Linked DNA regions of Canis lupus familiaris. The protein of the gene in region 1 purifies or fractionates together with the protein of each later gene. This does not show direct contact. Links are inferred from orthologs where the notes say so. Each region holds a gene or a part of one and is shown on either strand. Other genes may lie near its edges.

The links.
Region 2: the proteins of EFTUD2 (region 1) and ZNHIT2 purify together in Homo sapiens (affinity purification with mass spectrometry; 4 studies listed by BioGRID and IntAct, with this or other methods). This does not show direct contact. The link is inferred for Canis lupus familiaris from reciprocal best matches to the Homo sapiens genes EFTUD2 and ZNHIT2.
Region 3: the proteins of EFTUD2 (region 1) and PRPF6 purify together in Homo sapiens (affinity purification with mass spectrometry; 6 studies listed by BioGRID and IntAct, with this or other methods). This does not show direct contact. The link is inferred for Canis lupus familiaris from reciprocal best matches to the Homo sapiens genes EFTUD2 and PRPF6.

What each region holds. Positions count from the first base shown.
Region 1 is NC_049230.1:18,486,288-18,489,932, reverse strand, and holds part of EFTUD2 (116 kDa U5 small nuclear ribonucleoprotein component), read right to left. Parts: intron 3,616-3,645; coding exon 3,537-3,615; intron 1,484-3,536; coding exon 1,408-1,483; intron 920-1,407; coding exon 854-919; intron 84-853; coding exon 48-83; intron 1-47. UniProt on the Homo sapiens protein: Required for pre-mRNA splicing as component of the spliceosome, including pre-catalytic, catalytic and post-catalytic spliceosomal complexes. Component of the U5 snRNP and the U4/U6-U5 tri-snRNP complex, a building block of the spliceosome.
Region 2 is NC_049239.1:52,582,720-52,585,636, forward strand, and holds ZNHIT2 (zinc finger HIT domain-containing protein 2), read left to right. Parts: upstream 1-1,110; 5' UTR 1,111-1,176; coding exon 1,177-2,370; 3' UTR 2,371-2,413; downstream 2,414-2,917. Other genes in the region: delta(14)-sterol reductase TM7SF2, read right to left, coding at 2,752-2,912. UniProt on the Homo sapiens protein: May act as a bridging factor mediating the interaction between the R2TP/Prefoldin-like (R2TP/PFDL) complex and U5 small nuclear ribonucleoprotein (U5 snRNP).
Region 3 is NC_049245.1:48,284,713-48,288,457, reverse strand, and holds the start of PRPF6 (pre-mRNA-processing factor 6), read right to left. Parts: upstream 2,445-3,745; 5' UTR 2,430-2,444; coding exon 2,419-2,429; exon of another isoform or gene 1,808-2,418; coding exon 1,739-1,807; exon of another isoform or gene 1,531-1,738; intron 723-1,530; coding exon of another isoform or gene 632-722; exon of another isoform or gene 564-631; intron 1-563. Other genes in the region: SAMD10 (sterile alpha motif domain-containing protein 10), read left to right, coding at 2,717-3,163, 3,239-3,410. UniProt on the Homo sapiens protein: Involved in pre-mRNA splicing as component of the U4/U6-U5 tri-snRNP complex, one of the building blocks of the spliceosome.

The DNA.
Region 1 (3,645 bases):
GCTGGGTTTGGTGTGAGCAGCAGTTAGATTTCCCCAGGCACACTTACCTCCTGCTCTGTGAAGAGGATGTCAGTGTAACATAGCTTGGAAAAAAAAAAAAATGAAGTGCTGTTACCACCTGACTCCAGACTCCTCTCCCATACAAACCATCAATCACTTTCCCCCACCAGCTCCCAACCCAAGGGTTTCTGTCTCAGGAGGTTAGATGGAAGACAGAAGGGTATCCTACAGAAAAACCAAGGCCCTCTCAGATAGAAAATGCTCCCGGATGGATGTTTTTTTTTTTGGAGGGGGGTTGGGTAGGAGGGGGTCAGGGTGGTCCCTGAGGACCAGGTATGGCTGGAGAGAGCTAAATTCTATCAAATGCACTGAATCCTAAAGTAGTAAAGGGAGACACATCCAGCCTTTATGGAACCCCCCACACGTCAAAACACTCAATCTAGCAGACATGGAACATTTATTGCGCTGAGACCTGCAGCCACATTTGGCCTCATTCACAGGCATTTAAATTTATCACAGAAAACAACAAGGTCCAATTGTATTATATTTATAGAGTAGGCTATTAATACCATGACAGGAAAGAATAGGCTATAAAAGTCAGGATATATCAGAACAGAGGAAAGATCCCAAGTGCAGAACAGATCATCCAAAAATACTGCAGGTTAATATTCTCTAGTCTCCTAAGAAAGTTAAAATTACTTTCTTTAAGGCTATGAATAGAGATTACAATTATAAAGCAGCGCTTTGTAGGCGTCATTATTTATAATGAGAGTGAGAAGGAAGGGGAAGGAGAGCGACACCCCTGTATATTCTGAATGGTTCATCCTAAACCTTCCACAGAATTTCTACTTACATCTTGGTCATAGCGCTTCCTGATTTCCGGGTGAGTCTGCTCTATTAAACAATCTACGAAACACGTCTGAAAGAGAAGAGAAGGTTAAGATGTGCCAAGCACAAAGGAAAATCTACTCTACCCTTCCCTCAGTGCCCAAAACACCACCTAATTTAGGGATAAAGAGAGGAAGAGGAGAGCAAGGAGGATTATGGGACAGCAAGGGATTAATACTGAAGCCACTGAAGCCATAGGATTATCTTCAAATGAAAGATGAAATCTTTCTTGGACAAGCATTCCCCCAGGAAATGAAAACTTATAAAATGAGAGTAAGGCTCAATTTCTCCTCTTCTGTACAGATGTAGACACAAGGCTGCAAGTGGCTTAGAAACAGGCTCCATCCACTGTTCAGGAAAAGCTAGAATTTCATAGCACAGTTTCACACTAAGCATGGAGGTCCCCCATTATCAGAGGTCCATCATGATGGCCTCAAACCCCAACTGTGACTCTGAGGCCTGAATAAATGAGCAGAAACTAAGAGAAATCGTGTTCCAAGTAGCTGAAAGTTCTCTCACCTTGCCATGGTGGAGATGGCCACAGAGGGTTACATTTCTGATGAGCTCTGAATTATCCATCAGATCTGCCAAGAAGCTGAAAGGAGAAAGGAAAAGAGAAAAGGGACTTTGGCAAAAGCTTCCAAATGGGAAGTGGTACAAAAGTGTTTCATGAATTTTGTCAGGAACAATTTTCAGACCAACTGGAGAATGCTCAGAGGCAGATGTGAATTTCTACATCTATATGGGTTTGGCTCTGGAAATGGAACAGACTTATCCATGACATGACACAACCCATGAAATGGGTTTCAAGAGCAAAATCATGAGATTTCAAAAGTAAGCAAGAAAGGCAAAACCAAATATAAGGACACATGCACGCACATACACCAGCACTGTCCCTTTCAAAATCCTCAGATTAGATACCACACATTTATTTCATTGATGCAAAGGGGATTTAAAATCACTTTGAGAGTTTCCCTTTTATTTTTTTAAAGATTAAAAATAAATTTTTTAAAAAATATTTTATTTATTCATGAGAGACAAGGAGAGACAGAGACACTGGCAGAGGGAGAAGCAGGCTCCATGCAAGGAGCCCGATGTGAGACTTGAACCCGGGACCGTGGGATCATGCCCTGAGCTAAAGGCGGGCGCTCAACTGCTAAGCCACCTAGGCATCCCTAAAATTTATTTTAGAGAGAGAGCGAGAGAGAGCAAGCATGAGCGAGCAGAGAGGGGAGGGGGATGCAGGGGGAAAGAGACAAGCAGACTCCAGGCTGAGTGCAGAGCCTGATGTGGGGCCCAATCCCCATGACCCTGAGACTGTGAACCAAGCTGAAATCAAGAGTCAGACGCTTAACCGACTGAGCTACTCAGGCACCCCAGCTTCTCCTTTGAAATTGCCCTTAGAAAGAAAAAAAAAAGAAAGAAAGAAATTGCCCTTAGAGCTAGTTAACAAAACTTTTGAGAAAACTCCATCTCATTAATGATGCTGAGGAGTTCCATCTTGATCAGAACGGCACTTTCTTGCTTACCACATTAATTCAGAGGACTTTGACTCTTTGAAATATCAAGCCCACTTTAAAAGATTGGAGATTTTAAAAACCACCACTGAGAACACACAGGAATCTGAAGCAAGTTCTAAAGATAATTGAAAAGTTTTTCAAAAATGGCTGAATGTTGGCAGGTGGGCTGACCATTTCAGAAGGGATCCCACTCTTTTATTTTTTTTAATTTCATTCATTCATTCATTCATTCATTCATTCATTCATTCTTCAAAACAAAGAGAGACAGACAGACAGAGGCAGGCAGGGGGAGAAGCAGGCCCCATGCCAGGAGCCCAATGTGGGACTCGATCTCAGGTCTCCAGGATCACACCCTGGGCCAAAGGCAGGCGTCAAACCGCTGAGCCACCCCGGGACCCTCTTTTTTTTTTTTTTAATAGATTTTATTTATTTATTCATGAGACACACACACACACACACACACACACACACACAGACAGGTAGAAGGAGAAGCAGGCTCCATGCAGGGAGCCAGACGTGGGACTCGATCCCGGGTCTCCAGGATCAGACCCTGGACTGAAGGTGGCGCTAAACCGCTGAGCCACCCGGGCTGCCCAGATCCCACTCTTTTAGACACAGTAGATTTCAACATGTTTAAAACAAAGAAAAGTTTCATTATCTAATAAATGAGTTCTAAGCACTTCAATATATGAGGACCTTACAAGTGCATTTCATCAATGAAAATATTTTCAGAAAGTCTGCAGTACAAAGAATCTAAAGTACTCTACACATGTAGAATATTTCCTTTCCATAATAAAGAGTTGTTATATTCCCCAAACAGCATTCTCACCAAGTCAAAATAGGCTCTGGTTGCCCCAACATTGATGATTACAATCCCCAGTTCTGTCTCAAAGGCCAGCTTCTAATACCCAACTAAAGAATTGGAAGAGAAAAGGCTGAGATCTGAAGGAGAGGCAGGAGAAAAGTTAAGATGGACTCTACACATTCCAGCAAACATGTATGCTCAAGGAAAATTCTGGCAAATTGTAGGAGAGGATTTTTACTTTTACAATTTACTAGGTACTTCAACCATAAACTACCTCCTACCTCCACAGAAAAATGAACCCACACTGAGACCTTATAACTTACTCCATTTCATACACCGTGACAGGTAACGTCTGCTCCATCAGAGTGAATTTCTTGGTTTTCACTGGCTTAATAATAGGTTCTAGGGGAGAAAAAAAGAAGTGATGTACAG
Region 2 (2,917 bases), on another chromosome or scaffold:
GAGGCAGAGACACAGGCAGAGCGAGAAGCAGGCCCCATGCACCGGGAGCCCGACGTGGGATTCAATCCCGGGTCTCCAGGATCGCGCCCTGGGCCAAAGGCAGGCGCCAAACCGCTGCGCCACCCAGGGATCCCTTGCTTCCTTATTCTGATAAGGGCATGCTTTGTGGTTTTTTTCTGTAGCTGGGGTAGAGTTCAGTACCTGGTCACAGTGGCCTGAGATGGCTGCCCAAGGTGCAATGGCTGTACTTGTGCCAATGTTAAACTTGAATGGCCCTAATTTTCTCGGCCTCCACAGGACTAGATGTGAGGGACTAAAGAACCAGAGCTCACTTCCCCGGGTGCCATGGATCAAGGCCTCAAACGAAGTTCCATCAGGCGAGGGATCCCATCTCTGCTCCTCGTGTTTTGGCACATAGCATGGATTCGGTACTAAAAGTCGGATGAACCGGGGCAGCCGGGCTGGCTCAGCGGTTTAGCGCCGCCTTCAGCCCAGGGCGTGATCCTGGAGACCCGGGATCTAGTCCCACGTCGGGCTCCCTGCATGGAGCCTGCTTCTCCCCCGCCCCCCCGTATCTGTCTCTCATAAATAAATAAATAAACAAACAAATAAATAAATAACATCTTTAAAAAAAATAAAGGTCGGATGAACCATGGATTTGGAGGGGAAACCAAACAGGAGCTCAGTTACCTGTTCTTTCTTCTCAAGAGGGGAAACACCTCCAAAAACAGAGTCTCGGCCACGTAGTCCATATTCACCCTATTTCTACATCTCGCTTTACTGGTCTCTGTCCCGTAGGAGAACGGCTGCCCCTCAGCTCAACACGCCTCCTTCCCCAGGGCCCTGCGCAATTAGTGGCCCGAGTAGGGCCTCACGAAGATCGACTCCCCAAGGGCGTTTTATAGCGCTCAAAAAGGAGCCACTGGGGGGCGGGCGGGCACCAGCGGAGCTCCGGCTGCGCACCAGCCCCCTCGACCCACGCCGGCGCCGGCTCGAGCGCTACTAGATAGAGGGGTGGGGCTTGGCCACCGAGCAGGGGCGGAAGTTGCCGAGAGTCCTCGGGGGCTTTGACCACGCCCCGTCGGCCTTGCCCGGAGGCGGAAGTAGCCGGTTAGCGCCGGAAGTTGCCCCGCGCGGCCTGAGAGCGTTCGTAAGCGGCGCGGGGCGCCCGTTGCCATGGAGCCGGCCGGGCCGTGCGGTTTTTGCCCGGCCGGGGAGGCCCAGCCCGCGCGCTACACCTGTCCTCGCTGTAATGTGCCCTACTGCTCCCTGCGCTGCTACCGGGCGCATGGCACCTGCGCCGAAGACTTCTACCGGGACCAGGTGCTGGGCGAGCTTCGCGGCCGCAGCGCCTCGCCCAGCCGTCTGGCCAGCGCCCTACGCCGGCTGCGTCGGCAACGCGAGACCGAGGACGACCCCGAGGACGCAGGCCTCAGGCCTGGCCCGGCGCCAGGCGGGCCCTCCAGACTCTGGGAGCTACTGGCCCCGGCAGAGAAGGTGGCCTTCGAGCGGCTGCTGAATCGTGGCGAGGCCGGGCGGCTGCTGCCCCCATGGAGGCCGTGGTGGTGGGGCCGCGGGGCTGGGCCGCGGCTTCTGGAGGAGGTGGGTGATGCTGCGGACCGTGACCCTGCGGAGCTGGAGCCCACCCCCGCGAGGACGCCCCCGGAACCCGTGAAGGAGGCCGCCGCTGAGCCGTTTCTCGAAGACCCTCCCGAGGCCTGCGCGCCCGCCGTGCCCACCCGGATCCCCGTGCTGGCCAGTCTGAGCCGCGGCCGGGCCTCGCCGCTCGTGCGCTTCCAGCTGCCCAACGTGCTGTTCGCCTATGCGCACACTCTCGTCTTGTATCACGGCGGCGACGAAGCACTGCTCTCTGACTTCTGTGCCACACTGCTCGGCGTTTCCGGAGCCCTGGGTGCGCAGCAGGTCTTCGCCTCTGCTGAGGAAGCCCTGCAGGCCGCAGCCCAGGTGCTGGAAGCGGGCGAGCATCCGCCTGGGCCCCTGGGCACACGGGGTGCCATACGCGAAGCCGCCCGCATCCTGATGGGTGAAAGCCCCGCCAACCGGAAAGGCTACACGCTGGCAGCCCTGGGGCACCTGGCACAGACCCTGAGCCAGGCCCGGAAGCAAGCTGTGGCTACGGAAGAGCGAGATCGCCTCTATCGGGCGCGGAAGAAGTGCCAGTTCCTGCTGGCTTGGAGCAATGAAAATGAGGCGGCCCTCACATCCCTGGCTCTAGATTGTGCAAGGGCCCATCGAGCCCATGCTGTGGCGGCCGAGGAGGTGGTAGCCCTCACCGAGGAGTTGGAGCAGCTTTGGGGAGGACCCCTGCCACCTGCTCCAAGAATTCTCATTGAGGAGCTCCCTGGCTGAACTGGGATCTCTTTGTCATTAATAAAGCTGGTCTTCCCTGTCAGCAGTGCCTGTTTCTGAGGAACAGCTCTTGCCCACCCCACCCCCAGACTCTTGGGCCCATAGACCACTTCAGCTTTTCCTGGATCAGAGCTTACCTAGAAAGTTTTAAACGCCCTGGCCCCAGAAAGGGAGGGAAGTGGTACCATGGTTTCTAGATGTTTATCCAAGGAGAAAGAACAGCCCCTCCACTCCATTTTTGGGCACTGGCTTCATTTCTCCTTGCTCCAGAGCACCTCTCCCGGGCTGTTCATCCCTGCTTGTTGGAGCTTGGAGCAGGGTAGGAGTCCAGTCTCCTGGTGCTGAGTGCACATGCCCCAGTCTGGGGTGAGTGGAGCTGCTTCAGTAGATGTAGGGCAGGATTCGGTAAGGCACACGCCGACAGTATTCATGCCAGGCCAGGCCATACTTCTGCAGGCACTGCTGCTCATCCCGAGCCTCACGGTGTACCAGTAGTGCCGTGAAGTAGAGGAGGTAGAAGTAGGGTAGCAGGTGAGACACTCCTGTG
Region 3 (3,745 bases), on another chromosome or scaffold:
GGCACCCCCTGAGCCCCGGGCCAGATCCTGGGGCTGCGTAGGGAAGGGGACAGGTGCTGCCCGGCTGTCTTCCTGGAGTCCCCTGCGGTGGGTTAAGGGAGGCTCCTAGGGGAGCAAGTGCCCCTTGAGGGAGAGATCTCTGGAGAAGGCGAGGATAAAGGAGTGAGAAATGGAGGGGTCGGTCTGGCCCTCCACCTGGGCCTCGGTGGACCGACCATCCCAGGACCAGGGAGGATGTCCGCCTCCGGCCCGCGCCCTCCCGCCGGGACCTTGGCTTCCTCCTTTCCCCGCCTCAGAGGCCCCCGGGGGGTGGGCCCCCCGGGAGGTGCAGGCGCTCGTCCTGGAAGCCACCGCCAGGTTGCAAGGTCGCCCGGACCCCCGCAGGCTCCCTTTGCAGAGCAGAGCTGCGCGCCGCCGCTAGACCGCGGAGCTCCCGAGCGCGCCCGGCCCCGGGCTCGGGCTCGGGAGCAGGTGCCTCGCCGCGCAGACTCGCCCGGCGGGCGCGGGGACCGGCTCGGGCGCGGGGCGGGCGGGGCGGGCGGGGCGGGCAGGCGGCGCGCGTTCCCCGCCGGCCACACGGCCGCCTGGCGCCCGGCGAGGGGCGTGTGCGCGGCCCGGATCCCTGGGCCCCATGTTCACGGAGCTGAGGACCAAGCTGAGCCCCCCGCGAGGCCGCGCCGGGGCTGTGCGCGCCGGCTTCGGGGAGCGCCGGGATGTGGACGGTGAGCAGGGCTGACCACGGCGCGGGCGGGCGGCGGCTTGAGCCGAGGGGGGCCGCATCCTGGCCGATCGGGGTCCCTGGTGCCTTTGTCCTGATGGGGGGTGGCCTCGGGCCGGGGCATCAGCGCACCCTTGGCTTGGAGGAGGTTACGGCTGGGGCTCCTGCCCCCCGCTGGCCCACCCCGCGGTCACCTTTCCCTTTGCGCGCCCTTCCCTCCCCTGCTCCGCCGTGGGGCCGACAGGAGCCGAGGCCACAGCTGGGCTTGGACGCCCCCGGCCCCGTTTCATGGTGGAATTCTGACGTTGGGGCTAAGAGGGAGGGACGGAACGACGGGCGGACAGACAGAAAGACGCAGATCGTTCCCCTAGCCTGGGCAGCAAATGGGCGGGGCCCGCTGGACCCCGACAGGTGCAGCGCCGCGGCGACGCCCACCTCGGCCAGAGCTTCACGCTCCTGCCCCTGCCCCTGTTCCTGCCCCTGCCTCTGCCCTTGTTCCTGCTCCTGCCCCTGCTCCTCCCCTCCCCCTGCTCCTGCCTCTGCTCCTGCCCCTGCCTCTGCTCCTGCCCCCGCCCCTGCCTCTGCTCCTGCCTCTGCCTCTGCTCCTGCCCCTGCCCCTGTTCCTGCCCCTGCTCCTGCTCCTGCCCCTGTTCCTGCCCCTGCCTCCTTCCCCTGTTCCTGCCCCTGTTCCTGCTCCTGCCCCCTGTCCCTGCTCCTGCCCCCTGCCTCCTGCTCCTGCCCCCTGCCCCCTGCCCCTGCCCCTGCTCCTGCCTCTGCTCCTGCCCCTGAACCTGCCGCTGCCCCTGCTCCTGCCCCTGCCCCTGCCTCTGCCTCTGCCCCTGACCCGGCCAGCCCACTCCGCCAGGCCCTGCAAGGCGAGGCCGAGTGGCTCTGGAACCTGTGCCCTGAAAGATGCCAGCTTAGAATAAGTCTTTTTCCGTGATATCAGAAACCTCATCCAGGCAGGGACCGCACCAGGCACACCCTCTATTTGATCCTGGACCTCAAATTTAGAGTCACCTGGGGTCATCCAATTCCGAAAAGTTGCAAGTATGAAGACGGCGTGCTGAATCGGAGGAATCTGAAGGGCTAGAAGGGGGAAGTGATGGGTTTTCCCCATGGCTGAGAACTCCTGGGCACACAGCCAACCCCTCCCTGCCCTCAGCTGGGGGCACTGGGTTGTGTCCATGGAAGGCAGGGTCTCTCATTCTAGGGCTGAGAGCCAGGGAGGCGAGGGCCCTGGCCGAGAACCTGCTTCTGCCTGCCGAGTTGGGGCCTAGGTGCTGTAAAGATGAAGGCGAGCCTGGGCCCAGCTTCCTGTCTCTCCCCAGGGCTCTACTGGCTGTGGACACCACACAGAGCCTTTCTCCATCCACCCAGCCAGCCAGCCACAGTGTTCCTGGGCACCTGCTGTGTGCCCAGACCTGTGCAAGGGTCAGGAGGCCATTGTTAGGGTGTCTGCCCTCCCGTGACCTATGTGAGCAACGAGCCCAGGAAGGACAGCGAAACTAAAACTTGAGGAGTGTAATGAAGTCTGTGGAAAGAAAGCGCCAGGTGTCCCCGTGGCTCCCCGAGCTCATGGCTGGCCCCTGCACACCTGTGCTGAGCAGCCCATGTCCGCTGGATGCCCACCCACGGGAGCTGTCCTGGGCCAAGGGCCCTGCGACAGGTGGCAGAGCAGGGTTCCCGGGGTGGCTTGCCTGCAGTTCATTCAGGCTTCCCGCCGAGGGGTTGGCAGGTGAGCACCGCACGGCAGGAGCCACGTCTCAAACGCCAGGTATGGCTGCAGAGTTGGGGTGCCGTCAGTGGCGATGGCAGGCAGCATTCTCGGGGACGCCGTGACGCAGGGCCTCCCAGGACAGAGGGGCCGCAGCGTGCCCTGGTCTGGCTCAGCGTGCGTCAGCCTAGAGCGAGGGTGAGACGAGGCCTGTCTCAGGGTAGCTCCTCACCAGACTGTGAACCTTAGGCTCCCCGGTGGGCACACTGTCTCTCGAACCTATGCGGAACCCCTCGTGCTCCCCAGAGCACGGCCAGTGCGCCCAGAAGAGGAAGGATGCTCCCAGGCCATCAGCTTTGGGCTGGGCGGGCTACGCAGGACCGTTCTTGCGCACTTCCTTCCTGTCCCTGGGGGCTTGGGGCCCCCCGATTGGGAAAAGGGGCCTCGTGTTCAAGGGAAGATGGGTTGAGCAGGGAGTTGGTTTGCAGAGAGACGATCCTCTGGCCCCGGCCCTGACCGCCCTGACCAGGCGCCCATGCCCCGCAGCCACTGCACACTTCAGCTTCTGCCGAACCCTCCTGGAGCACACGGTGTCCGCTGAGAGCATCCCCTGCCACCTGCCTCGGACGCCAGGCACCAGCCTCACATGGCACGACTCCCGTAGCCAGAGGGCCGCTGGTGGCCGGCCGGTCAAGCTCCTGCAGCAGCCTGGCACAGAGGCCCCCCAGGTACCCACCCGCCGTCCCCCCTCAGCCCCTGCCCTCCCACCACCTCACCGCACCCGGCACCCGTCTCCCCCGCAGGGCCGGATGTACTCTGACCACTATGGCCTGTACCACACGAGTCCCTCCCTGGGCGGCCTGACGCGGCCTGTGGTCCTGTGGAGTCAGCAGGACGTGTGCAAGTGGCTCAAGAAGCACTGTCCCCACAACTACCTCGTCTACGTGGAGGCCTTCTCCCAGCACGCCATCACAGGTGCCCTTGGGGGCTGTGGCATGGGGGGGCATAAGGATCCCCTGGAGAGCCCCCCCAGCCTGCCTTTGTCTCTCTTGCCGTCATTTGTCTCTCCTCGGTTTCCTCTTGGGCCAACCTCTCCTGCCAGGGCTCTCTCTCCGCAGTCTCCCCGGCGTGTTGCTCCGTTCTCATGGCTTTTCTCTGCCCTCCCCTCTGCCTCTCACTCTCTTTCCCTCTCTAAATCCTGCTGTCTCCGCCTCTCCTTCTGTGTCCTTGAGTGTCTCTGTGTCCCCTTCCCGTTTCCCTCTCTCTGCCTCGGCTCTTAATGCCCCTTGGAGGTTGACCTTGGCTCAACC